Macaca mulatta: one gene and its partners. The protein of the gene in region 1 purifies or fractionates together with the protein of each later gene. This does not show direct contact. Links are inferred from orthologs where the notes say so. Each region holds a gene or a part of one and is shown in the gene's direction. Other genes may lie near its edges.

Region 1 (3,500 bases):
TCATAAATGTAGTTTAAAACTACATGGAGTTAAGATATTTCCATTTCTATAGATGCTGCATAAATTTGGGGGTCAAACAGACCTGGATTAGAATCCCAGCTTTGCCATTGACTAGCTATGATGACCTTGGGCAAGCTTACTAAATGAGTTCCAGCCTCAGTTTCCTCGGTTGTAAAATAGATTCCTCAGGGTATTGTTGGGAAGATTAAGAGGTTTATAAAGTACCTTGCACATAGGCAGTATTTTAAATCTCAGGTTAAAAATTCATGTCGACTTAGGTTTTACACATGATGAAGTAAGATCAGGATTGTTGTTTTTTATGGTCATTCTTGAATTTTTATTTTTTTGAAGCAATACAATCAATAGGAGAAAAACCTCACCTTCAATTTTAATAGGTGAGTCAAAATGACTTAAATAGTATTATGACATTTCAAATTTTATTCTTTATATTAAGCTTAAATACAGTGGTTACTTTAATGATTAGGTGTGATAGTTATAAAGATCATAATTTACCCTAAAAATAGAGTAATGCTGTTGTATTTTATTGATCTTTGGTTACTGTATCTGACATGGTATTCTGATACCAACCTTTTACATATCATCTAGATAAGCCTAAATTACCAGAAAACTACACAGATGAAACCTGGCAAAAACTGAAAGAAGCAGTGGAAGCTATTCAGAATAGTACTTCAATTAAGTACAATTTAGAAGAACTGTACCAGGTATGTATTAATATGCATAACCAGATTTGATTAACATAAATTAAGGTGGGATATATATTGATTTTGCTTTCTGAAATAGGTTCTTAAGTAGACTTTTGGTTCCCTTCTAGTTTTAGTTTCTCAATTAATTGATGAACTCTTTAATTAGACCACGTATTCTCACATAAACTATGGGTACAGTCATACCGGTATAAATTGTGCTTATCTTTGACCCTTCTGATGAGGAATTACAGTTAGGTGTACCTTGGTGTAATAGAAGTTCTACCTATAATGAAATCCTATAGCATGAATCCCAAAGTTGATTTCTGGTGACATGTCGTTCTATTGTGATAATTGTTTCTTAGTTGTGTTACCTACCCATAGGAAAGGCCTCAAGACATGCAGATATTATTCATATCCTTTATTTTACCTCCTTCTTAATAGTAGACTTTGCTATTCCTTTTTCTTGCTCTTTACATTTTTCTAATACCTGGGCTACAAGACGCACCTTAGCCCAGAAATGAGCAGCAGTTTGTTGTCCAGCAGCTTAGTCTGAGGTTCAGATTCTTTACTTAGCAAATGGGTCCTTACACTTAAATATAATGTTAAGGGCAGTTACTAATGGCAATCTCTTGCTACCGAGAAATTTTTCCCTACTGTGTATTTGACACACAACCAATTCAAGAAGTTACTTTCATTAGAGTATCAGGGATTTGGTGTTAAAAGATACTTCAGGCCGGGCACGGTGGCTCACACCTGTAATCCCAGCACTTTGGGAGACCAAGGCTGGTGGATCACCTGAGGTCAGGAGTTCGAGACCAGCCGACCAACATGGAGAAACCCCGTCTCTACTAAAAATACAAAATTAGCCAGGCGTGGTGGTGCATGCCTGTAATCCCAGCTACCCAGGAGGCTGAGGCAGGAGAATTGCTTGAACCCAGGAGGTAGAGGTTGCGGTGAGCCGAGATTGCGCCATTGCATTCCAGACTGGGCAGCCAGAGCAAAACTCCATCTCAAGAAAGATATTTCAGAGTACTTCAGAGTACAATAGCTTGAATTTTTGTATTAATGAGTACCTTGTAAGAAATTATGTTGGTTCGATTTATCAGTATTTGTATATTTTAGTTGCAGAGCTAGTATGGTGATGGGCAAATCCTGGATTAGGAGTCAGAAGATGGGTTTGAGATCTAGTTTTGACTGCTGTGACCCTTGTAATATTGGGCCAGGTACTAAAGCCCTCTCAGTTTTTTTCCTGTTTTTTTAAGAGATAGGGGTCTTGCTATGTTGCCCAGGCTGGTCTTGAACCCCAGGGCTACAGCAGTCTTCTCACCTCAACCTTCCAAGGTGCTGAGATTACAGGCATGAGCCACCAAACCCAGCCGTCCCTCTCAATTTAAATTTCCTCCTCTCTAAAGTAGAGGAAATAATAATTTGCCCTACCTATCTCACAAGGTTGCTTATAAGAATCAAATAAGATATTTGTGGAAAAAACCTCCAGGCACTATAATCTTACAAATATGATGATATCACGAGTCATGCTTTTTTACAAGCCACAGTATAGCTTCTTCACTTGTAATATGTCAATTGAGATCACCGGTTTCTGTTGCTGTGAAAATTAGTCAGTACACGCAAAATACTCAAATCAGTGCACAACACATAGTAATAATGCCATGTAACATTATAAACATTGTAATGCTATGTAAATGTCAGCTAATAGTTGTAGTACTAAGCTGTTACTTAAGAATAAGCCCGTTTCATATGGCTCTTTTGGCATATTATATGTGTGTCTCCTAAAATGTACAACAATAAAAGTCAAAATATGAAACTGACTTGGAAAGGCCTTAAGAGAGCATGTGGTCCAATATTTTTCTTTGTGGTGTCTGTGACAGCCTGCAAAGGGGATTCATCTTGTATTATCTCATATAAGCATTACGAAAACCCTTTCTGGAGTACGTAGGGTAGTAGTTACTATCTCCACTTTTTATTTATATTTATTTATTTATTTATTTTTGAGATGGAGTCTTACTACGTCACTCAGGCTGGAGTGCAGTGGCATGATCTCGGCTCACTGCAGCCTCTACCTCCCGGGCTCAAGTGATCCTCTTGCCTCAGCTTCCCAAGTAGCTGGAATTACAGGCACCTGCCACCACGGCCTACTAATTTGTATATTTTTAGTAGAGATAGGATTTTACCATATTGGCCAGGCTGATCTCGAACTCCTGACCTCAAGTGATCCACCCGCCTCCACCTCCCAAGGTGCCGGGATTACAGGTGTGAGCCACCGCGCCCGGCCTATCCCCAGTTTATTGATGAAGAGACTGAGTCTCAGAGAAGTTGAATAACCTGCCCAGAGTCACATATTGGCAGAGTCACATATTGGCAGAGCAGGGGCAACTCAAACTGAGATGCTGGATTTCTAGTTCGTTGCACTTTTACTCCTGTACTACCTCACTAATATACCCTGGTACTTTGAATACCACTGTAGTGCAGTGTTTGAAGCAATTAAATTGTTTTACTTTAGGGAAAAAGCTCTTTATCATTGAAGTAGTATTTTTATCTGTGCATGCATAAGTGGTGTTTATTTGGATAGTATATGGTGTTTATTTGGATATGCTGGTATACAGCATATTTAATTTCAATAATGTGTTATTTTATATATTCCATATTTATAACAAATGTTTATTGTAGTTGTTAATGAACCCTATTTACTTTACCTTGAATATTTTTCCAGAGCTTTTGCTTTGAAAATATTTTTCCTGATATATTGATTCTGTTAAATCTTTTCGTTTCAAGAGCATA
Region 2 (3,060 bases), about 40 Mb from region 1:
AAAGCAACATGGCAATGGAAAAAGAAATTGGAAGACCAGAGGCACAGGAGGAAGAGGCAGATGGGGAAGATGGGGTAGATGGAGTAGAGGAGGCAGAGGAAGAGGAGGCAGGGGACGAGGGAGTAGAGGAAGAGGTGGAGGTGGCACTAGGGGGAGGGGAAGAGGGAGAGGAGGAAGAGGTGCTTCTAGAGGAGCTACCAGAGCCAAACGAGCACGTATTGCAGATGATGAATTTGATACCATGTTTTCAGGACGTTTCAGTAGACTGCCTCGAATTAAAACAAGAAACCAAGGCAGGAGGACTGTTTTATATAATGATGATTCTGATAATGACAATTTTGTGTCCACTGAGGATCCTCTGAATCTTGGTACATCCAGATCAGGCAGAGTGCGTAAAATGACAGAAAAAGCCAGGGTTAGCCATCTCATGGGATGGAATTATTAACAGTTAATAAATTTAGAATAACTTAAAAAATTCAATGGCCTTCTACTGCAGGGAATTTACCAGGAAATCTACAAAGCAAGTTGTGTGGGGACTTCTGCTTCCTTTCACATTGGTGCTTTTCCATTTATGCCAGTATACATTTGTTTCAAGACTTTTGATCTCCACACTTCATTTGTTCAAATAAGCCTTACTCATTAGGCCTTAAATTAAAAGAAATTCTGCCCACACACACACACACACAAACACACACACACACACGAAACACAACACAGACACACTACAGATTTACTACATTAAAGGAGCATTCAGCTTCTTAAGAGTAGCATGACATTTTTATCTCAATAGAATAGCCCTCTTTTGCTTTTGTATCACAGAAGTATAGCACCTTCTTACAGAGTTTTATATAGTTTGTTTTTGCCATTTTGATTCCTATACCCAGTAATAATAACTTTTGCACAATACACCAATCCTAAAGGCAGCTATTAAATGTTTACAGTTTCTATATTGTAAGAGCGATCTGGATTATTTTACTCTTCCCAGGCCAAACTTTCATGACTTGTACTGAACTGAAGTATATATTTATACTACAGTTTTTTGGGGGGTGGGGGGATCTTGATATGCTTTTCATTGATTTGCATAATTCACGTTAAAGGTGAGAAAGGGTTGGTGCCTTGTAAATATGTAGCAGATCTTCGTGGTGTGTTCTGATGTGTGCATTAACTTTATTAAAAAAGAATACTTGAGGTATCAATCTAGACAAGGTGCCAAATGCAAAAGTTTCCTGCATCAATTTTTTTTCCTATCACATTTTATTGCATTAATAGAATTTGTGTAGCTTAAATAACTTAAACATTTGAAAAATCCTCATCCACAAAGAACAACTTCTTTGAACAGTAGCTCAGCTACCTCTTAACTACAACTACTGGAAACATTAAGGAAAATAGATGCTGTTATTCCTTACTGACTAAGGAGAAATAGAACAAGCTTAGTAGGAATGAATACCCATAAGTTATAAGCTGAGAGGTTGTTAATAATTGTATTGGCTCTCAAATTAATAATTGTAATTAACAAACTTTCATAAGTATAGTATGCTCTACCTTAGACTTTCTTAGAACATGAACATATTTGTGTAAGTAGACTTGGGCTACTGCTCATATATTTCTGCTCCACTTACCATTTAACAGCTGTGAGTTACTGGTTTTCATTTGAATCTTAAAATTTAACAAAGCACCTAGTTTGAGTTGGAATGTTTTGGCTAGCTAGTATTATGAATCAACTTACAGATTCTGCTCATATCATTCCAAAGGGTTCTTCTGTTCTAGTCTTTCAGGAAAGAACCTTATTGCACTGCACACTGATGTTGTGAATCATTATTTTATAGATAAAAAGCATCTTTAAAAACCCTTATTGTCTTGTTTACAGCAGTAGAGTGCACATGGTTCCATAAGTGAGCTTGAGTTTCAAGGTCAATTTTAGTCCCCAAATTTAATATTACAGATTTGTTGATTTGTTAGATACTTACATTTCTGAGGTAAGAGGGATAATATCAATTTATGTTTCTGTAACAGCAAATTTGTTGCACTTAGATCAGGCTCATGGGATAAAACAGACTTCTTAGTGTATACCTAGCTATCCCAGGATTTTTCTTAAGCTAATGTGTTTGTCTCATGCTTTCAATCATTTCATGCATCTGAAAACCCTTAAGTGCAGAGGAAGGTGTACACACATAAAACTTTGCTTTTTTGGTAGGGTCGGCAGTAGGGTTATTCTTGGACTAACATCTTTAAGCAGTTTTCACTTGCAGTAGAAATGATGTTCAGGCTTTAAGAGAAAGTATTGTTGTGAATTGTTAATGGCACTAACTTCTGTTACTAGACAGCAGACCAAGCTATTTTTTTGTTGTAGTCTTTTTTTCACTAAACCAAAACTACTACTGGTTGTAACTCAGCTGCCACTTTTAACCATAGTAGAGATTCAAAACGTTCCTATTTGAAACTACATTTGGTTTTTCCTAAAACGTGCTGTTTCAGTTATTTATCTCTTGGGCATTTAGACTAAATCGTGCCTGTATTCCTGAAATCAATAATACTTTGGCCTATCCTGATCTAAGTAACATAGTTACTTAAATTCCTGGATATACCCAAATATGGATCACATGTATCATTTTAGTGTGAAATTTTTTGTTGACATTCTTCTATGAAGAGCTGACCTCTTGAAATGTAGAAGAATTGACATTTGTGTGATTTTGGCTATCTGGAGCTTTATTTATAATTTATTTTGAAAAATAAAAATGCCACATTTATTTCCCAAATGTCAAGATTTTCTAGAATTAGATAATTAGAATAATAAGGCTGAAGACATTTTAAAGCATATTTTATATGTAGTGAAATACTGTGAAAATATTAGTGAACAGCACTTTGCTGTAATGTTTATTTCAGTTATTAAGATTTAAAGAGTTAGTCATCAGGGTATGTTAGATAAACATAGTTATCATTTATTAAACAAACAGATAATTTTCTGTTTGCATGCAAATTATTTTAATAAGTGTGAAAAATAAAAGTTTGGAAGATAGTATTTTTACTTTTATATCTGGACTTTTTTCCCCCCAATTTACA
Region 3 (4,219 bases), on another chromosome or scaffold:
GTGCTCTCTGAGATCCCAGCTCTGTGGCCTGTAGATTCCGACAGGATCCATAGTCCAGATATCACCGGATTTCTCTGTAGTCCCTACCAACTCTCCCCAGTCCTCCAAAATTCCTGGAAATTCATAGCCTAGGGACAGTCAGCAAGCTTTGTGGCAGAGGAAACATCCAGATGGGGACTGGAGCTATCAGTCTCCTCTTGGAAGTCCCCAAAACTTTACTAGTATCATGTAATAGGTACAAATGTCCTGAACAGAACACGAAAGATACCATTAATGAAACAAATTGACAGTTTGGACAAATCCATAATTTATTTACTTATTTTTCTTTCTTTTTGAGACAGGGTCTTATTCTGTCTCCTGGCTTCGCTGGAGTGCAGTGGGGTGATCACTGCAGCCTCAACCTTCTGGGCTCAGGTGATTTTCCCTCCCGTCTCCTGAGTAGCTGGGTCTACAGGTGTGCACCATGCCCCGCTAATTTTTGTATAATTATTTATTTATTTTTTGAGACAGAGTCTCGCTCTGTTGCCCAGGCTGGAATGCAGTGGCACAATCTCGGCTCACTGCAAGCTCCGCCTCCCGGGTTCACGCCATTCTCCTGCCTCAGCCTCCCGAGTAGCTGGGACTACAGGCGCCCGCCACCAGTCCCCCCTAATTTTTTGTATTTTTAGTGGAGACGGGATTTCACCGTGTTAGCCAGGATGGTCTTGATCTCCTGACCTCGTGATCCACCTGCCTCGGCCTCCCAAAGTGCTGAGATTACAGGCGTGAGCCACTGCGCCCGGTCTAATTTTTGTACTTTTTCAGAGACAAAGTTTCACCAAGCCGCCCCCTCTGGTCTCTAACTGTATTTTAAAAATACAGGCGGCCGGGCGCGGTGGCTCAGCCTGTAATCCCAGCACTTTAGGAGGCTGAGGCGGGCGGATCACGAGGTCAGGAGATTGAGACCATCCTACCTACATGGTGAAACCCTGTCTCTACTAAAAATATACACATTAACCAGGCATGGTGGCGGGCACCTGTAGTCCCAGCCACTTGGGAGGCTGAGGCAGGAGAATGGCGTGAAACGCGAGAGGCGGAACTTGCAGTGAGCCGAGATCGCGCCACTGTACTCCAGCCTGGGTGACACAGCGAGACTCCATCTCAAAATAAAAAATAAAAAATTAAGAAATACAGGCAAGGCGCGGTGGGCTCATGCTTGTAATTCCAGCACTTTGGGAGGCTGAGGCGGACAGGCTGCTCGAGCTCGAGTTTCAGACCAGCATCAGCAACGCAGGGAGACCCCATCTTTACAAAAAAATTAGCCGGGCGTGGTGTCTCGAGCCCATAGTCCCAGCTAGGTAGGGCAGAAGTAGGAGAATCACTTGAGCCCAGGAGTTCCAGGCTGCAGTGAGTCGTGGTCGGGCCACTGGACTCCAGCCTGGGTGAAAGAGCAAGACCCTGTCTCAAAAAGAGAAAGGAAAAAATTTAACATCAAGAACTTTCGTCAAGACGCCACTGAGAGAATATGACAACCCACAGAGTAGGAAAAGAGACTTGTAATACACATCTGCAACAAAGGACTTGCTCCCAGAATACAGAGATAAAAATTAGCAACACTTCCGTTCGCGCCCGGACGGAACTTCCTGTCACGGAAAAGAACATCCTGAAGAATTTCCTGTCACGAGCAACAGTCCGCAGGAGGAAATGGAGGCGGAAAGGCTGCGACTCCTCGAGGAGGAGGCCAAGCAGAAAAAGGTAGCCAGAATGGGATTTAATGCATCTTCTATGCTCCGAAAAAGCCAGCTAGGTTTCCTCAACGTCACCAGTTACTCCCGTTTAGCCAACGAGCTGCGTGTGAGCTGCATGGAGAGAAAAAAAGTCCAGATTCGGAGCTTGGATCCCTCCTCTTTGGCGACCGACCGATTTAACTTCATTCTGGCGAGTACCAACAGCGACCAGCTCTTCGTAGTGAACCAGGTCGAAGTCGAAGGCTCCAAGTACGGCATTATCAGCCTGCGAACTCTGAAGATCCCTTCATTCCACGTGTACGTGCTCAGAAACCTCTACGTCCCCAACCGGAAGGTGAAGTCCCTGTGCTGGGCCTCGCTGAACCAGTTGGACTCTCACATTCTGCTGTGCTTCGAGGGAATTACAGATGCTCCAAGCTGTGCGGTGCTGCTCCCAGCGTCGCGATTCTTAAGTGTTCACACAAGAGTAAACCAGCCTGGCATGCTCTGCAGTTTCCAGATCCCTGAGGCCTGGTCCTGTGCCTGGTCCCTCAACACCCGGGCATATCACTGCTTTAGTGCAGGCTTGTCTCAGCAGGTCCTGTTGACCAACGTGGCGACGGGACACCAGCAGTCGTTTGGTGCCAGCAGTGATGTCTTGGCCCAGCAATTTGCTAGTACGGCTCCTTTGCTGTTTAATGGCTGTCGCTCCGGGGAGATCTTTGCCATTGATCTGCGCTGTAGAAATCGAGGCAAGGGGTGGAGGGCCACTCGCCTGTTCCATGACTCTGCAGTGACCTCTGTGCAAATCCTCCAAGAAGAGCAATGCCTGATGGCGTCAGACATGACTGGAAAGATCAAGCTGTGGGATCTGAGGGCCACTAAATGTTTAAGGCAGTACGAAGGTCACGTGAATGAGTCCGCCTATCTGCCCCTGCATGTGCACGAGGAAGAGGGAATCGTGGTGGCAGTGGGCCAGGACTGCTACACGAGAATCTGGAGCCTCCATGATGCCCACCTGCTCAGAACCATCCCTTCCCCGTATTCTGCCTCCGAGGACGACATTCCCAGCGTGGCCTTCGCTTCTCGGCTCGGGGGCATCCGGGGAGCAGCACCAGGGCTGCTCATGGCTGTCCGGCAGGACCTTTATTGTTTCCCCTTCAGCTAATTCCGCAGATTGCAGCGCGGCCGAATGTGGATTTGACTTAAGGAAGTTAAGAGTATCTTACTACCGTTTCTGTGAGAGCAGTTTAAGAGACGTGATATATATAGATCCCATCTATCCGGCTGCCAGGGGTAAGGTGTTAAGAGTTTTATGTGGAGACTTTTCCGTAAAGTTATTTCAGTTAAACTGGACTTAACTTGAAAGTCCTTTTCATAAAAGATACCTATTTCCTCTTGTTGAATGCCTTAGAACAGTTAACCATCTCCCCCACCCTTTTTTTTTTTGTAAGACTTTTCTAAGGACTGAAGATTGGCAAAAACTAAAATAAATTAAAGCAGCTTCTTTCACTAGTAGCCCTTTAGAGAAGCATAATGATGGTACTAGTAAGACTGACTAGTCACAAAGGGTCCCAGGCATCTGTGCTTGAGGAAGCCAGTGGGAGTGGAGACAAGGGAGAGGTAATTTCTCGGAGTCTCTACAGAAATATTTAAGGCTGCAGTTTGGAATCATTAAATTTCTCAAACTCAATAGCAGATCCCTTAAGATTCTCGTTTTATTATTATCCATAGGCATTGGAAGGAAAGAGGGATCTTCTTAAATACGAGAAGTTTTAAACAGTCTTTAATGTGCTTTTGTTGAAGTACCTTTCAGAATGTAAGGTGCAGCAGCTCCGGTTTCTATTATGGTGACTTGAAGTTCAGATTCAAGGAATTGGCTTTGACTTTTTGTAATCTAGGAGCAGCAGTTTGTGAGAGGTTTATTAAAAATGTTAAAGAGCCTGTTTTTCTACCAAGCAAGGAAGAAAAAAAAATGTAATAATGTTAGTTGCTATTTCTTAATAGCCGAAGCCTGGAAATTATCTGAATTTCCAAAATGCTAAAACTCGTGCTATAATCATACAATTGGATACTGCATAATAATAGAAAATAAGGCACACTTGCTATGTGAAACAGTATGGACCAATCTCAACATGGTGATTGAAATTAGGTAGAAATGAGTACAAACTGTATGGTTCAATTCTGAAGTTCAAAAGCAGTAAAAACTTGTCTATGGTGATTAACGGTAGAATAGTAGATACCTCTGTAGAAAGAAAGGATTTTTTTTTTTCTTTTTCTTTTTAGGATGCTTGAGAAGTGACATGGGGAAGCTTTAGGAATGCTGAGTTTTCTTTATCTTGACACTTGATAAATACATAATTCATATAGCTATATGCTTCACATTTTTATAGTTTACTGTATATATGCTATTCTTAAATAAAAATAAGAAAGCAATTAGGACACTATTGTAGTTAGTCAGGCAAGGGACAGTGATGCCTTGGACCTGCATGTGAGAAGTAGAAATGATCAGA
Region 4 (3,929 bases), on another chromosome or scaffold:
GTTGTTCAGGCTGGTCTCGAACTCCCAACCTCTGATGATCCGTCCGCCTCGGCCTCCCAAAGTGCTGGGATTACAGACGTGAGCCACGGCACCCAGCCCTCAACTTGCGTTTTGGAGAAGACAATTATTTCAAACCATAGTACCAGGAAAAGTGCAAAAAAAAAAACAAAAACAAAAAAAACAAAACAACAACAACAACAACAACAAAAAACAAAGCAGAACAATTATGTGGTGTTACTTTTTGTGAAAGGAGAGGTAAAATTTTATATTTATTAATATTTGCTTGTATTTGCAGAAATTCCATAAGAATACATGAGTATTGAATATCACATAAACGCAGGCGACCATATAATCTTCCATTGAAATGCAACCGTTTGTAGAATGAAAGGGGGGATGTTATTTTAATTAATTAATTAATTTATTTATTTAGAGACGGAGTCTTGCTCTATCGCCCAGGCAGGAGCGCAGTGGCGCAATCTCCGGTCACTGCAAGTTCCGCCTCCCGGGTTTTACGCCATTCTACAGCCTCAGCCTCCCGAGTAGCTGGGGCTACAGGCGTGCACCACCTACGCCCAGCTAATTTTTTTGTATTTTTAGTAGACGGGGTTTCACCGTGTTTAGCCAGGATGGTCTCGATCTCCTGACCTCGTGATCCGCCCGCCTCGGCCTCCCAAAGTGCTGGGATTACAGGCGTGAGCCACCGCGCCCGGCCGCAAGGGGGGATGTTATTAATCACTACTCCAGGACGACAGAGGGAAAATGGCTTTGTACTGGACAAACTGGAATATCTGATCAACCTTTATAAAGTGCATGGAGTGGGAGGAGGAATGGGGACTTTTTAATTGTATTTCTAAAAAGTATCGTCTGTGGTGAATCAGAAACAAAACTCGTTCTTTACCACAGGCAGTTTAAGCGCTGCCTGAAAGACCTAAGGACGGTAAACCACAGACATGAGACATGGAACTTTGCGAAAACGCAGTCGTTTTATGTACCGGGTACTTATTGGAGTTACACTAGAGACTCACTCCTGGAGTTCATCAGCCAATCCAAAGTCCGAGCGTGAGAGCCAGAGCCTGTAGGAGAGGGCTGGGCAGGCCTCAGACCTGAGGAGTGGAGCCCCGCATCACTCAACCCTGAGGGCGGAGCTAGCCCAGGCTCCCACACCCGACGCTCTGGCCCACACAGACGCTACTCTGTAGCATCTCAGGTTCCCTCTGGCTGCACTCTGGAGGACCACACTCGTTTTCTTTTTGGCTGCCAGAGGCCCCGCATCCACCGCTGAGCTGGGAGAAAGATGGCGGCAGCCGTGCGACAGGATTTGGCCCAGCTCATGAATTCGAGCGGCTCTCATAAAGATCTGGCTGGCAAGTGAGTATTTCCCAGCAACGCGGGAGTACAGAGGTGGGGAAAGAAAGCCACAGCCTTAATCTCCTTAGGTTGGCCACGACTCTTGGGCGTGAAGCTAGGAACCGGCCTGACGACCAAGGGGGCGGGCCTGAGGTCGGCTAGGGAGGCAAATGTTGGGAGAAGCAGAGAGCTGGAGGGGACCTTGTGCAGGGGCCTTCGAGGCCATAGACTTGGGATGACTGTCAACTTGTTCAGTTATTGATAGAATCCCTCTGGTCCCTTAGGATTTTGGAAGAGCGGTCTGACAGATGACTGCTACCCTGGCCTTAGTAGCCTTCCCTGGTACCTCTTCCTATCGCTGGCCGGCCTCACACCGAATCTGGCCTCTCGTTGGACCTTCCTCCTCCTTTTTTTGATTCAGAGAAATGTATATTCTGGGGCCTTGATGGTGTGTTTTTCGGGGAGATGGCTTCTTGGGGCTGGCTGAGACTGAGGAGGTATGGCCGCTGTCATGTCGTCCAGACCACTCAGACTGTCTTCTGTGGGTCCTTGTGTTTCGGGTATTTTCTCCACCACCAACTCTGAAGGCACATAGGCGGAATGTGCTCATATCGCGGATCAGGATGTCTAGAGTAGTGATGTTTGCAGGAATCTGAATTTTGTCGAAATTCATATAGAATGCTTAGGTTCACTCCAAGTTAAAATGTGTGACGTGCCTGTTGTGCAAGCAGTTGTTCAACAGTATTAAGCATAGGTAGGTAGACGTATATTGTTCATTTTCTCTTTGTAGATGTCACAGCACTGATCTTTTGTAATGAACTTAAAGTATGCCTCTCTAGGCCGGGTGCAGAGAGGCTGAGGTGGGAGGATCACTTGAGGCCAGGAGTTCTAGACTAGCCTGGGCAACATAGTGAGACCCCCGTCTCCATAAATAAATAAGTAAATAAAGTATGCCTCTCAAGTTGATCTTAATGTTTACATCCTGACAGCTGAAATCACTTTATGTATGTTAATGGGATACACCTGCTCTAACCTGGTCATCGAAATTCTGACTGTTTTAAGTAGGCTAGGCTGCCTTTTCTCTGGTGGTAAATGTAATCTACTTTTATCAGTGGGAAATTCAGCCGTATATTTTGGGCGTAACTACTTTGTGCTGCATTTTCCCATTTAGGAAAATGAAGATGATAATAGGACATATTCTTGTCTGAGATTATCTGAAGACAAGATGAGTATCTGTGTGCATATATACTTACCACACTTATATCACCTAGAACAGTACCTGACATATAGAAAGTGCCACAAGATTGTTGTTACTATCACTAAGCTGTCAGTAATATATATTCACTTATTGTATGGGTTGGAAATAAATATGTCTTCATGGTTTAATCCTTTTTGCTTGTAATTTTGTAGATATGGATGAAAGTAAAAGCAGCTTATATTTTTTCCCCCATGCTTCCTTTACTTTTTATTTTGTAAAAGAAAAATAAGTGCATTAGTTATCAGAAGAAATAGAGCTTTTCATGTATTTGGAGAGTTCTGAAACTTAAGTATTTACTTTTTCAGGTCTGAATTGGAGATAAACAATAGTATTTATAGGGTACTTCAGTTATCTGTTGCTTTGTAACCAAAAACTTACCAGTGTAAAACAACTGTGATTTCTCAGGATTCTATGGATTGACTGGACAGCTCTTCTGGTCTTGTCTGGGCTTACTCATGCAGATATAGTCAGCTGGCAACTCACCTGGGGCTGGACTCACATGCATATCTTGCTCTTGGCAGGATCTGTCTCTCTGTGCACATAGTCTCTCATTCATTAGTTTAGCTTGGGCTTTCTTAGGTGGCTATGAGAGGGGAAGTCACAAGACCTCTTAAGGATAGCCTAGAAAGTCTCATATCAATTCTCTAGTACTGGTAAAAGTAAATCAGAAGACCAGCCCAGATTCAAGGGGAGGGGAAATGGAGCCTACTACTGCCTCTTTAGTGGCAAAGTTACATTGCAAAGGAGCCTGGACAGAGGGAGACATGATTCATTGGAAGCCATTACTGTAGCAATCTACCACATGGTGTTGTGAAGATTAAATGAAATAATGTGCTTGATAACTGATAGCCAGTGCTGTGTTAGCCAGCAACTCCTTCAGAGCTGCTTTCTGAGAAAAGTCTTGGGCTTGCTTGCAGTTCCTATCTGAGCAAGAAAGTATCAGGATATTTATCCTTATAACAACATCAGTTTTACCAGCTACATGCTTTAAGAGAAGTACCCTTGAAATATATCAGTTTTTTTTTTAATGTATTTTTTCTTGTATGTACTTTTAATGAAGGTTTTTGGGGATTTTTTAGGAGCTGAGAAACAAAGGATTCCATATTAAAGAATAATGGAGTACATTGTTTCTAAAACATCAATACTGTGTGTTCCCAGCAATTGGGATATCTATAACAACAGTTGCTCAATACATGTGGTTGAATTAATGAATAGCTAGAAAGGGGCAGAGCTTGTATTTGAACCCAGGTTCATCACTCTAAAAAGCTCATTTTAAACCTACCAGACTATGCTCGTTTTCTTGTTAAAAACTCAATTAGAAATG
Region 5 (3,500 bases), on another chromosome or scaffold:
GGCAGGAGTGTGTCTTACCACCATTTTACGGTTAAGGAAACTGAGGCAGAGAGTTTCAGAATTTGCCTTACAAAAGTAATTTTTAGTGTTGGAGGTCAGGCTCACAGTACCCTTTGGAGAGGTAGTAATTGGGAAAGGGATGTGAGGGAGGCCTCTGGGGTACTGGATTGTTTTATGTCTTTTCTTTTTTCTTTGTTTGTTTGTTTGTTTTTGAGACGGAGTTTTGTTGCCCAGGCTGGAGTACAGTGACGTGATCTCAGGTCACCGCAACCTTCGTCTCTGGGATTCAAGCGATTCTCCTGCCTCAGTCTCCCGAGTAGATGGGATTACAGGCATGTTCTACCACACCTGGCTATTTTTGTACTTTTAGTAGAGATGGGATTTCTCCATGTTGTTGAGGCTGGTCTCGAACTCCTGACCTCAGGTGATCCACCCGCCTTGGCCTGCCAAAGTGCTGGGATTACAGGCGTGAGCCACCGCGCCCGGCCTGGATTGTTTTGTTTCTCAACCTGATTGGCGGGTACGTGGCTATATTTAGTTTGTAATAACTCCCTGAACTGTATCCTTCCAGTGTGTACGTTCTATCAATGCAAAAGTTTATTTTAAAAAATATTTTATCAAAGCATGGTGACTCATGCCTGTAATCCCAACACTTTGGGAGGCCAAGGCAGAATAATCATTTGAGCCCAGGAGTTCGAGACCAGCCTGAGCAACATAGCAAGACTCCAATCTCTACAAAAAATAAATAATAAGCCATGTGTGGTGACTCACACCTGTGGTCCCAGCTACTTGGGAGGCTGAGATGGGAGGATTTCTTGAGCCTGGGAAGTTGAGGATGCATTGAGCCATGATCATGCCACTGCACTCCAGACTGGGCAAAAGAACAAGACCCTGTCTTAAAGATACGTATATCTATATATATCTTTATGTGTGTGTGTCTGTGTGTGCGTATCTATATACACACACACTTGCCTGAGATCACATAGCTGGTAGGTGATCGAGGATCGGAGCCACCTTACCTCTGACAGTACACTACCTCCTTGATATCAGTACTATAAACGTGACTACTGGGAATGTTAACATACATGCATTTTCAGAATAACCACTTGTGAGCCAGGCATCCCAGCTGAGCCTCTCTCTTGCAACCACAAAACCCAGAATGGGGCCAAAGGTATAGACCCTCTGAGCAGCTATGGGCATATTTGGATGTTTTCTGAACCCAGTGGTCCCTGGCCTGGCTAGAGGGCAGCCACAATTTACATTCTCCTATCCCCTTAGCAGGAATAGACCGGCCTGGCATGCTCTGCAGTTTCCGGATCCCTGGTGCCTGGTCCTGTGCCTGGTCCCTGAATATCCAAGCAAATAACTGCTTCAGTACAGGTGAGCCTGGCTCCCCAGGTGCCCAGAGAAGAGGCCTTAACAGACCTTAAAACCCCTGTAGCTGTCCCTCTCCCCAGACTACATGTGACATAATCTCACCAGCCTATCTCTGTCTCCGCCAGGCTTGTCTCGGCGGGTCCTGTTGACCAACGTGGTGACGGGACACCGGCAGTCCTTTGGGACCAACAGTGATGTCTTGGCCCAGCAGTTTGCTCTCATGGTTAGTTGGATTGGGACAGGCAGAATATAAAGTTTGCCCCGTGCAGAAATTTGGCCAGATTGAAATTGGACTCCTCTGTGTGCCATCTAGTCGTCTTTGACAGGGGAGAAAGAGCATCAGAAAGGCTCAGTGGGTTCCTTTGTAAGCGTGTCTGAACTGAGTGAAAGTTGGTTGATCCAGAAAGGCTTGCCTGAGTTGCTCTAAACAACCTCTCATGGAAAGGAATTGTGAGCAGTTCTTGGGTACTTGGAGTTACCCAGCAGGACAAACCATCTTTAAAATGTATAAGCTAAACACCAATTCTTCACAGCTCTCAGGTTATATGTTTTATATATTTAAAAAATCAGGGCCGGGCACGGTGGCTCACGCCTGTAATCCCAGCACTTTGGGAGGCCGAGACGGATGGATCACGAGGTCAGGAGATCGAGACCATCCTGGCTAACACAGTGAAACCCCATCTCTACTAAAAATACAAAAATTAGCCAGGTGTGGTGGCAGGCGCCTGTAGTCCCACCTACACGGCAGGCTGAGACAGGAGAATGGCGTGAACCCGGGAGGCAGAGCTTGCAGTGAGCCGATATCGCACCACTGCACTCCAGCCTGGGCGACAGAGTGAGACTCCGTCTCAAAAAAAAAAAAAAGAATTTAAGCTTGATAAATTCAAGTCAGTTTAAAAAAAAAAAAAAAATCAGGCCAGGTGCAGTGGCTCATGGCTGTAATCCCAGCACTTTGGGAGGCCGAGATGGGTAGATCACGAGGTCAGGAGTTTGAAACCAGCCTAGCCGAGATAGTGAAACCTCTTCTCTACTAAAAATACAAAAATTAGCTGGGTGTGGTGCCAGGCGCCTGTAATCCCAGCTGCTCAGGAGGCTGAGGCAGGAGAATCACCTGAACCCGGGAGGCGGAGGTTGCAGTGAGCCAAGATGGCACCACTGCACTCTAGCCTGGGCGACAGGGCAAGGCTCTGTCTCAAAAAAAAGTGGTCATAACTATATTTTAAGGACTTTTCTCTAGAAAATACCATCTTTCCTTAAAAGTGAATGAACCTGCTGACCCACCTTTGGTAGAGATGGGGTGCTATCTCTGGGACTTCAGAGAGAAAGGCCAAAGGGGGCAGTGCGTGGGGGGGCGGGGAGCAGGCAGCTCCTAGGACCTCTGTGCTGCCCATGAGGAGGACACGTGGGGTCTGGTTCTTCTAGCCACTAACAAGGAATCATCCTCCCTTCCAACTCCATTGAGACCCAAACCCTGACCAGCACGTGTCTGATCACACCATCCGACCCAGAGGCTAGAAGAGGGGTTATAGCAGGAGGACCTGCCCCGCCCAGCCTCAGAGGGAGGTCATGGTAGCCAGGACCGAGCAGGCCCTCTTTCCACAGGTTCCTCTGCTGTTTAATGGCTGCCGCTCTGGGGAAATCTTTGCCATTGATCTGCGTTGTGGAAATCAAGGCAAGGGATGGAAGGCCACCCGCCTGTTTCATGACTCAGCAGTGACCTCTGTGCGGATCCTCCAAGATGAGCAATACCTGATGGCATCAGACATGGCTGGAAAGGTAGGGGATCATGAACTTTCTCAGGCCACAGGGTCTCGTGGCCCAGAGACCTGCCAGGTGAAAGGGTTCTGCTGAAGAGGTCCTCATACCGAGACCCCAGGCAGGGGAAGTTCACTGAAGACCAAGTGATTTGTTGGCCCTGCCTGGGGACTGCTTTGTTGCCCATATGAGCCTAATCTGATGTGAACAAAAGTGAAAAGGATTCTTTGGTTGTGTACCTTTTTTTTTTTTTTTTTTTTTTTTTGCGACGAAGTCTTGCTGTGTTGCCCAGGCTGGAGTGCAATGGTGCAATCTCGGCTCACTGCAACCTCCATCTCAGGTTCAAGCGATTCTCCTGCCTCAGCCTC
Region 6 (3,500 bases), on another chromosome or scaffold:
CAGTAAAGTATAGCTTTTGTCCAAGAATCCTTTTCTTACATGATTTCTAATTAGTCCTGTAATCTAGCCTTTCAAATTTGACCATAAAAGATCTTTGAGCTAAAACTTTGGGTGATAATTACTATTAGAATGTGATGTCCTAATTCCGAGTTTTCCTATTCTAAAATATTATTATTATTATTATTTGTTTTCAGGAAGTGAGAATAACTCTCTGTACCTGTACTATAAAGGACTTTCTAAGACTTTGCTAACTTTTAAGTTTGATACAGTCAAAAGTGTTCTGGACAAAGACCGAAAAGAAGATGATACAAATGAATTTGTTAGTGCTGTGTGCTGGAGGGCACTACCAGATGGGGTAAGTTTTCATATCAGTTTTTTCACCTTGGGATCTCCTATTATGCATTATGTATACACAGGGTTTGATTAAATTTTAAAATATAAATTGGTGTGTGGTATGTACTATTTTTAAAACTTTGTAATGTGTCACCAAAGACAATAGGCATTTTAGGTAGTGATTGAAATGCACAGTAATAGAGCAATGTAATGGTGTCATCATGTCCCTCTGTGACCCATAGCATCTAGTGCATATCTCAGTTATAACGATTAAAATATTGTCTCTTCATATCTCTTCTGTAAGACTGGAAAATCCTCCAGAATACACATTCCGTCTCATCTTCTTTATTGATTATGTGCAGTATATGCTTGATAAACATTAAGCTGAGCTGGTATTTTAATAGGGAGAAAAAGAATTGGTGCAGGTAAAGGAGAGTGGCCTATATGGTGCTCTAATTAAATACTATTTCAAAGTAGAATTGCTTTCTGCAAAATACATTTATATATGAATATTTAAGCATATTTAGTATATTGATGAGAAAGTTATGCTACTAGGTTGTATGAAGAGAAGTTGCCTCAAACTTTTCACTTATGTTTTAAAGTATAAGGTTTTTCATAAGTTATATAAAAAAAAATTCTTGTTACTATCTTGATTTATATAAACATGAGTTGTTAGTATTGTATTTTTAAAATAGCTTTTTAGGTGCTTAGTTAGGTTTATTTTGACAAAATAAAATTCTGACAAAATTCTGACTTGATATGTAATTTAAAAATCCAAGTTTCAGGTATAGTTTCACTTTAATTAGATATATTCTATTGCTGTCTTAAAGTTTGCTAATTGACAGACTAGGTAATTTGGACCAACCCTTCCTCCAAGTAAAATTAGAAAAGTAGGACCAAATACATGTATTTTAAAAACAAGAACCTATTTGAAAGCATTGGAAAGCAAACAAGACAAGACACAATTACTGAATTTGGATTGTGACCCTGGCTTTTGAATCTGCTTTTCCCCTGTGAGCATTTGTCAGTTTTGGTGGGGTGGTTAAAAGCACTTACACTAGCTTCACAGGGTTGCAGGGACTGGAGCTCAGTGCCTGACATTATGTGAGTGACTACTTTTTTTTAAGTCCCCACAGGGGTATATTATAGGAGAAACCAGAAGATAAGCCTTCGTAGAGATTGCATCTGAACTTTTTATCAGTCTCTGAAATTGAATTGAGGTGACCCTTCATTGCTGATATTCACAGGATGCAAACTTAAATCCTCTCTGAAAAAAGATGAGATCATCTAAGTGCTTTATTTTTTTTCAGTTTTGTAACTACAATAACTAGGGCACAATAAAAAATAAACAGACATAGTAAAAGATAAGACAGCATGAATTAAACCAGCCTAAGCAACAGACTGTAGAAACAGTCACAGCAGCTCTAAATATTGGAGTTATCAGACAGCTTGAAAGTAGCTACGCTTATAAGATGAAAGACAAGATTGAAAATTTTAACTGAGAACTGGAAACTATTTTTAGAATGAAAATATAATTCTGCTTCTGGCCCCTTCCAAATTTCATGTCCTCACATTTCAAACCTAATCATGCCTTCTCGACAGTCTCCCAAGGTCTTAACTCATTTCAGCATTAACTCAGAAGTCCAAAGTCCAACATCTCATCTGAGACCAGCCAAGTCCCTTCTGCCTATGAGCCTGTAAAATCATCAGCAAATTAGTTAATTCCTAGATAGAAAGAGAATACAGGCATTGGGTAAATACAGCCATTCCAAATGGGAGAAATTGGCCAAAACAAAGCTACAGGCCCTATGCAAGTTCAGAATCCAATGGGGCAGTCAAATCTTCAGGTTCCAAAATGATCTCCTTTGACTCCATGTCTCACACCCAGGTCACACTGATGCAAGAGGTGGGTTCCCATAGTCTTGGACAGCTCCACCACTGTGGCTTTTCAGGGTACAGCTTCCCTCCTGGCTGCTTTCACAGGCTGGCATTGTCTGTGGCTTTTCCAGGTGAATAGTGCAAGCTTTCAGTGGATCTACCATTTTGGGGTCTGGTGGATGGTAGCCCTCTTTTCATAGCTCGCCTAGGTGGTGCCCCAGTAGGGACTCTGTGTGAGGGCTCCCACCCCACATTTCCCTTCTGTACTGCCATAGCAGAGGTTCTCCATGAGGGCCCACCCCTGCAGGAAACTTCTGCCTGGTCAGCCAGGCATTTCCATACATCCTCTGAAATCTAGGCAGAGGTTTCCAAACCTCAATTCTTGATTTCTGTGCACACGCAGGAACAACACCACATGGAAGCTGCCAAGGCTTGGGGCTCGCACCCTCTGAAACCATGGCCCTGGTTCTATGTTGGCCCCTTTTAGTCATGGCTGGAGCAGCTGGGACACAGGACACCAAGTCCCTAGTCTGCACACAGCATACGAACACTGGACCTGGCCCAGGAAACCACTTTTTCCTCCTGGGTCTCTGGGCCTGTGATGGGAGGGGCTGCTCTGAAGACCTCTGACATATCCTGGAGACTTTTTCCCCATGGTCTTGGGGATTAACATTCGGCTCCTTGTTACTTTTGCAGATTTCTGCAGCCAGCTTGAATTTCTCCCCAGAAAATGGGATTTTCTTTTCTGTTGCATTGTCAGGCTGCAAATTTTTCAAACTTTGGTGCTCCATTTCCCTTATTAAACTGAATGCCTTTAACAGCATCCAAATCACTTCTTGTATGCTTTGCTGCTTAGAAATTTCTACCAGGTACCCTAAATGATCTCTCTCAAGGACAGAGTTCCACAAATCTCTAGGGCAGGGGCAAAATGCCACCAGTCTCTTTACTAAAACATAACAAGAGTCCTTTTTGCTCCATTTCTCAGCAAGTTCCTCATCTCCATCTGAGACCACCTCAGCCTGGATTTCACGTCCATATCAGTATCAGCATTTTGGTCAAAGCCATTGAACAAGTCTCTAGGGAGTTCCAAATTTTCCCACATTTTCCGGTCTTCTGAGCCCTCTAAACTGTTCCAACCTATGCCTGTTAACCAGTTCCAAAGTCACTTCCACATTTTGGGGTATCTTCTCAGCAGCACCCCACTTCTGGTACCAATTTTCTGTATTAGTCCATTTTCACACTGCTGATAAAGATATAGTCAAGACTGGGTAATTTACAAAAGAAAGAGG
Region 7 (3,500 bases), on another chromosome or scaffold:
TTGGCAATTAATAAGACATCTCATTTATCTGAAGTAGGGTGAACCAAATAACTAAACATCTGTTTGATTTTGCAACTTCTCATTACACTTAATATGATGGTTAGATTGTAGCATAATGGTACATGTAGGGCATAGACTGTCTTAACATATTTGGTATTGGTACTTTTTTTGGTCTACTTCACCTCTCAGCTCTGAAATAAAATGCTACTTTTTAAGTAATGATATTATTCCTATCCCCATTAGAAAAACACACTTTTTTCCTTCAGAGTTTCAGCATTTTTAAAAGAAAAAGAAATTCCCCCAATTTTTATTATGTGTTTTCGAGCCATTTCTTCATACTTGAAAGCAAAGTTTTCAATATTAAGTAAACCATTCATTCCATTCAAATTTTAAAATCATTAGGCATCTGTTATCCTTTACCTTTAAATGTGGTAACTGCTGGTGCGTTTGTATGAGTATGCTATAATGATTATAAAACCTATGACTCTTTTTGTCAAAATTTATTAAAATCTTTTGTGCAGTTCGAGCATCAGACAAGCGGATAGCTTGTGATGAAGAATTCTCAGATTCTGAGGATGAAGGAGAAGGAGGTCGAAGAAATGTGGCTGATCATAAGAAAGGAGCAAAGAAAGCTAGAATTGAAGAAGATAAGAAAGAAACAGAGGACAAAAAAGCAGGTCAGATTTGTTTCTTGGTAGTTGTTTTAATTGTAAATTTTAAAAATTGAGCTACATTGTAATGTTTATGGGATCCTAAAGTCAGTTTCACAAGTATCAAAGGAGGAAGTATGCTAGGTAGATGACTCTTTTTTCTTACATGTAAGTGGTGCTTAGCTCTTAAAGCTTTTATATAAATGTTATTGTTCCTGTTTGCTTTAATAATATAGGAAACTTTATCTTCTTGATAACGTGGGTTTAAAATAGTAAACATTGTACTGTGATAGAGATTGGGTAAGAAAGAGGACAAAGTAATTATGAATCTATTTGTAATGCATGGTCAGAACTGAACTTCTAAGGTAATTTTTAACTACCTAAAGCTTATTTAATGGGAGAAAACACAAAGAAGAGTTACATACCCTTAGACTAGTTTTGCCATTTTGAAAAAGGTCAAATAATGGATTTTGTTCAGAAATTGAAGAAAACATTAAAAGCTCTGAGGAAAGCTAGGAGGGGATTTGGGATGTGGGTTAGGAAGGAGTTAATACATTGATACATTGCCTTACCTTAAAACGCTGTGTTAGCTTTAGGCAATTGAATTTGCTACCTGAATCTGTTACCTTTCATCTGACTTCCCAGAACACTTACACATGCCTTTGCCATTTTATTTAACACATATTATAGCACCTCACAGGATTTTGTCTCCCTGCTAGATTGAGCTGCTCATGGCTAGGGAACACAATATCTTAAATACTTGTATTCTCAGCGCTTGATGCATTTCCTAATGCAGGTAATGGTGATGAGCACACGTTTTAGTTAACCTGTTAATTTTTATCCTGTAGCATGTGAAAAACTGATTTAGAGGTACTGATCCAATTTTTCCTATATCTATCAAATTGAAGTTATGTGAATAAGCTGGCTCTTTTTTTTTTTTTTTTTAACTAGAGAGTTCGTAATTTGTAACATCTGACACATCTAGTTCTATTCTTTTCCTTGTGAATTCACTCCTCAATAGGCTACATACAGTTCTCTATCTACCATTTTATAATTTTAACTTCGCAGTGTATTATAATGATGGCTTCAGTCTATATTTGTATACTGATTGACATCCAAAAATTCAAGCCATGACTGAGGTAAGGACTTGACTTTAGCTGTAGGATTTTTCTAACTTTTTTTCTTTTCTTTCATTTTCACTATGTCGTCGTCTTGTCTATTTTTTGGTGTTCTCATTTTTAAAAGCTTTATCTTTTCTGTGCTTAAAAAATAAACCCTCTATTTGGTGATGGGGCTCTTCTGATAGGGCCTTGCAGTTGTTAAACTTCTTCAGCCTACAGAAAAATGAAATACACTTTTTAAATCTATAGGTCAAAACCTAGAGTTAGGGCCACCTTTTCTCTTCCTCCCCACCCCAATCCAGTGACTGTTCATAGCTTGTACTGCCATCGTTTAGGAAACACCCAACACAAAGCTTATTTAGACCCTAATTCATTAATAATAAGATTGCATGATACTTTTTTATATTTTAAAAATAAAGTATATTTTGAAATAATATATATACATTTTATATTTCAAAATAGGTTTTAATCTTTTCCCAATCTTTATTTTTAGACGTTAAGGAAGAAGATAAATCCAAGGACAACAGTGGTGAAAAAACAGATACCAAAGGGTAAATGATGTTCCTTATTGAGTACTTTTTACATACTATAAAAATGCTAAACATGTTTATTGGTGTGTGTGTGTACACACTTCAGAAATACTAGACTGAACCTTAGAACATCATTATGAGGTGCTCTGAATTTTAGTTTGTATTGGTACATAAGACAACATATGCCATCTTACCTATTGGTTTATCAATATAAACTAAGTCAGTTTGTATTTTTATACATCATTTATCTGAGATCCTTTTTTGCTATTGTCTTTTATATGTGCACTTAATGGTTTTCATGGTGTTCTTATTTCTGTGTACATGATTTTTTTAGTGTTGTGAGATAGGTACGTTTAAGAAACAATTTTAAGTAAAAACAGTTGAGGATTTTATTGTCAGAAAGCATGTAAAAGTTCGAGCATACATAATTTTGTGCCAGCCTTTACAGGATAACTTGGAATGATTATAAAATCACTAGAAAGATTAAGGCATTAATTATCCAGAAACACTTAAGACATTATCAATTAATGTGTTTGTTAGCATGAGCCTACAGGACCTGATCAATAGAGTAGGTCAGTGCATTGAAATCGAGATTGTGCCATTGTTAATATTTCACATTGCCTCTTTTAACAGAACCAAATCAGAACAGCTCAGCAACCCCTGAATTTGACAGTCTCACCAATTTCAGAAAATCATTAAAAAGAAAATATTGAAAGGAAAATGTTTTCTTTTTGAAGACTTCTGGCTTCATTTTATACTACTTTGGCATGGACTGTATTTATTTTCAAATGGCTTTTTCGTTTTTGTTTTTCTTGGCAAGTTTTATTGTGAGTTTTTCTAATTATGAAGCAAAATTTCTTTTCTCCACCATGCTTTATGTGATAGTATTTAAAATTGATGTTATTATGTCAAAAAAACTGATCTATTAAAGAAGTAATTGGCCTTTCTGAGCTGATTTTTCCATCTTTTGTAATTATCTTTATTAAAAAATTGTACTTGGATTGTCTTTTGTCTGTTTATTACTACAATATGAAATCTTGTTTCAACGGCTAATGACATCATTTCTTTAGACTTACAATACACTCTAGATGAAAGATAATAATTACAGCTCGAAAGATATCTTATTTGCTGTTTCTTTGGGAAGAGTATTTATAGTAATTATTATCTATTTTTGCAATAGAAATTCTACCACCTTGCCC

Evidence for each region.
Region 2: the proteins of CUL4B (region 1) and BRWD3 purify together in Homo sapiens (affinity purification with mass spectrometry; 3 studies listed by BioGRID and IntAct, with this or other methods). This does not show direct contact. The link is inferred for Macaca mulatta from reciprocal best matches to the Homo sapiens genes CUL4B and BRWD3.
Region 3: the proteins of CUL4B (region 1) and DCAF4L1 purify together in Homo sapiens (affinity purification with mass spectrometry; 3 studies listed by BioGRID and IntAct, counting the BioPlex papers as one, with this or other methods). This does not show direct contact. The link is inferred for Macaca mulatta from reciprocal best matches to the Homo sapiens genes CUL4B and DCAF4L1.
Region 4: the proteins of CUL4B (region 1) and COPS4 purify together in Homo sapiens (affinity purification with mass spectrometry; 9 studies listed by BioGRID and IntAct, with this or other methods). This does not show direct contact. The link is inferred for Macaca mulatta from reciprocal best matches to the Homo sapiens genes CUL4B and COPS4.
Region 5: the proteins of CUL4B (region 1) and DCAF4 purify together in Homo sapiens (affinity purification with mass spectrometry; 9 studies listed by BioGRID and IntAct, counting the BioPlex papers as one, with this or other methods). This does not show direct contact. The link is inferred for Macaca mulatta from reciprocal best matches to the Homo sapiens genes CUL4B and DCAF4.
Region 6: the proteins of CUL4B (region 1) and COP1 purify together in Homo sapiens (affinity purification with western blotting; 4 studies listed by BioGRID and IntAct, with this or other methods). This does not show direct contact. The link is inferred for Macaca mulatta from reciprocal best matches to the Homo sapiens genes CUL4B and COP1.
Region 7: the proteins of CUL4B (region 1) and HDAC2 purify together in Homo sapiens (affinity purification with western blotting; 3 studies listed by BioGRID, with this or other methods). This does not show direct contact. The link is inferred for Macaca mulatta from reciprocal best matches to the Homo sapiens genes CUL4B and HDAC2.

The regions. Positions count from the first base shown.
Region 1 is NC_133426.1:126,955,898-126,959,397, reverse strand, and holds part of CUL4B (cullin-4B), read left to right. Parts: intron 1-606; coding exon 607-722; intron 723-3,500.
Region 2 is NC_133426.1:86,994,507-86,997,566, reverse strand, and holds part of BRWD3 (bromodomain and WD repeat-containing protein 3), read left to right. Parts: coding exon 1-445; 3' UTR 446-3,060. UniProt on the Homo sapiens protein: Plays a role in the regulation of cell morphology and cytoskeletal organization. Required in the control of cell shape.
Region 3 is NC_133410.1:41,230,358-41,234,576, forward strand, and holds the start of DCAF4L1 (DDB1- and CUL4-associated factor 4-like protein 1), read left to right. Parts: upstream 1-1,419; 5' UTR 1,420-1,683; coding exon 1,684-2,874; 3' UTR 2,875-4,219.
Region 4 is NC_133410.1:50,736,338-50,740,266, reverse strand, and holds the start of COPS4 (COP9 signalosome complex subunit 4), read left to right. Parts: upstream 1-1,129; 5' UTR 1,130-1,294; coding exon 1,295-1,368; intron 1,369-3,929. UniProt on the Homo sapiens protein: Component of the COP9 signalosome complex (CSN), a complex involved in various cellular and developmental processes.
Region 5 is NC_133412.1:146,100,366-146,103,865, forward strand, and holds part of DCAF4 (DDB1- and CUL4-associated factor 4), read left to right. Parts: intron 1-1,278; coding exon 1,279-1,380; intron 1,381-1,502; coding exon 1,503-1,600; intron 1,601-2,979; coding exon 2,980-3,153; intron 3,154-3,500. UniProt on the Homo sapiens protein: May function as a substrate receptor for CUL4-DDB1 E3 ubiquitin-protein ligase complex.
Region 6 is NC_133406.1:33,458,892-33,462,391, reverse strand, and holds part of COP1 (E3 ubiquitin-protein ligase COP1), read left to right. Parts: intron 1-194; coding exon 195-355; intron 356-3,500. UniProt on the Homo sapiens protein: E3 ubiquitin-protein ligase that mediates ubiquitination and subsequent proteasomal degradation of target proteins.
Region 7 is NC_133409.1:19,009,492-19,012,991, reverse strand, and holds the end of HDAC2 (histone deacetylase 2), read left to right. Parts: intron 1-521; coding exon 522-677; intron 678-2,264; coding exon 2,265-2,322; intron 2,323-2,934; coding exon 2,935-2,965; 3' UTR 2,966-3,302; downstream 3,303-3,500. UniProt on the Homo sapiens protein: Histone deacetylase that catalyzes the deacetylation of lysine residues on the N-terminal part of the core histones (H2A, H2B, H3 and H4).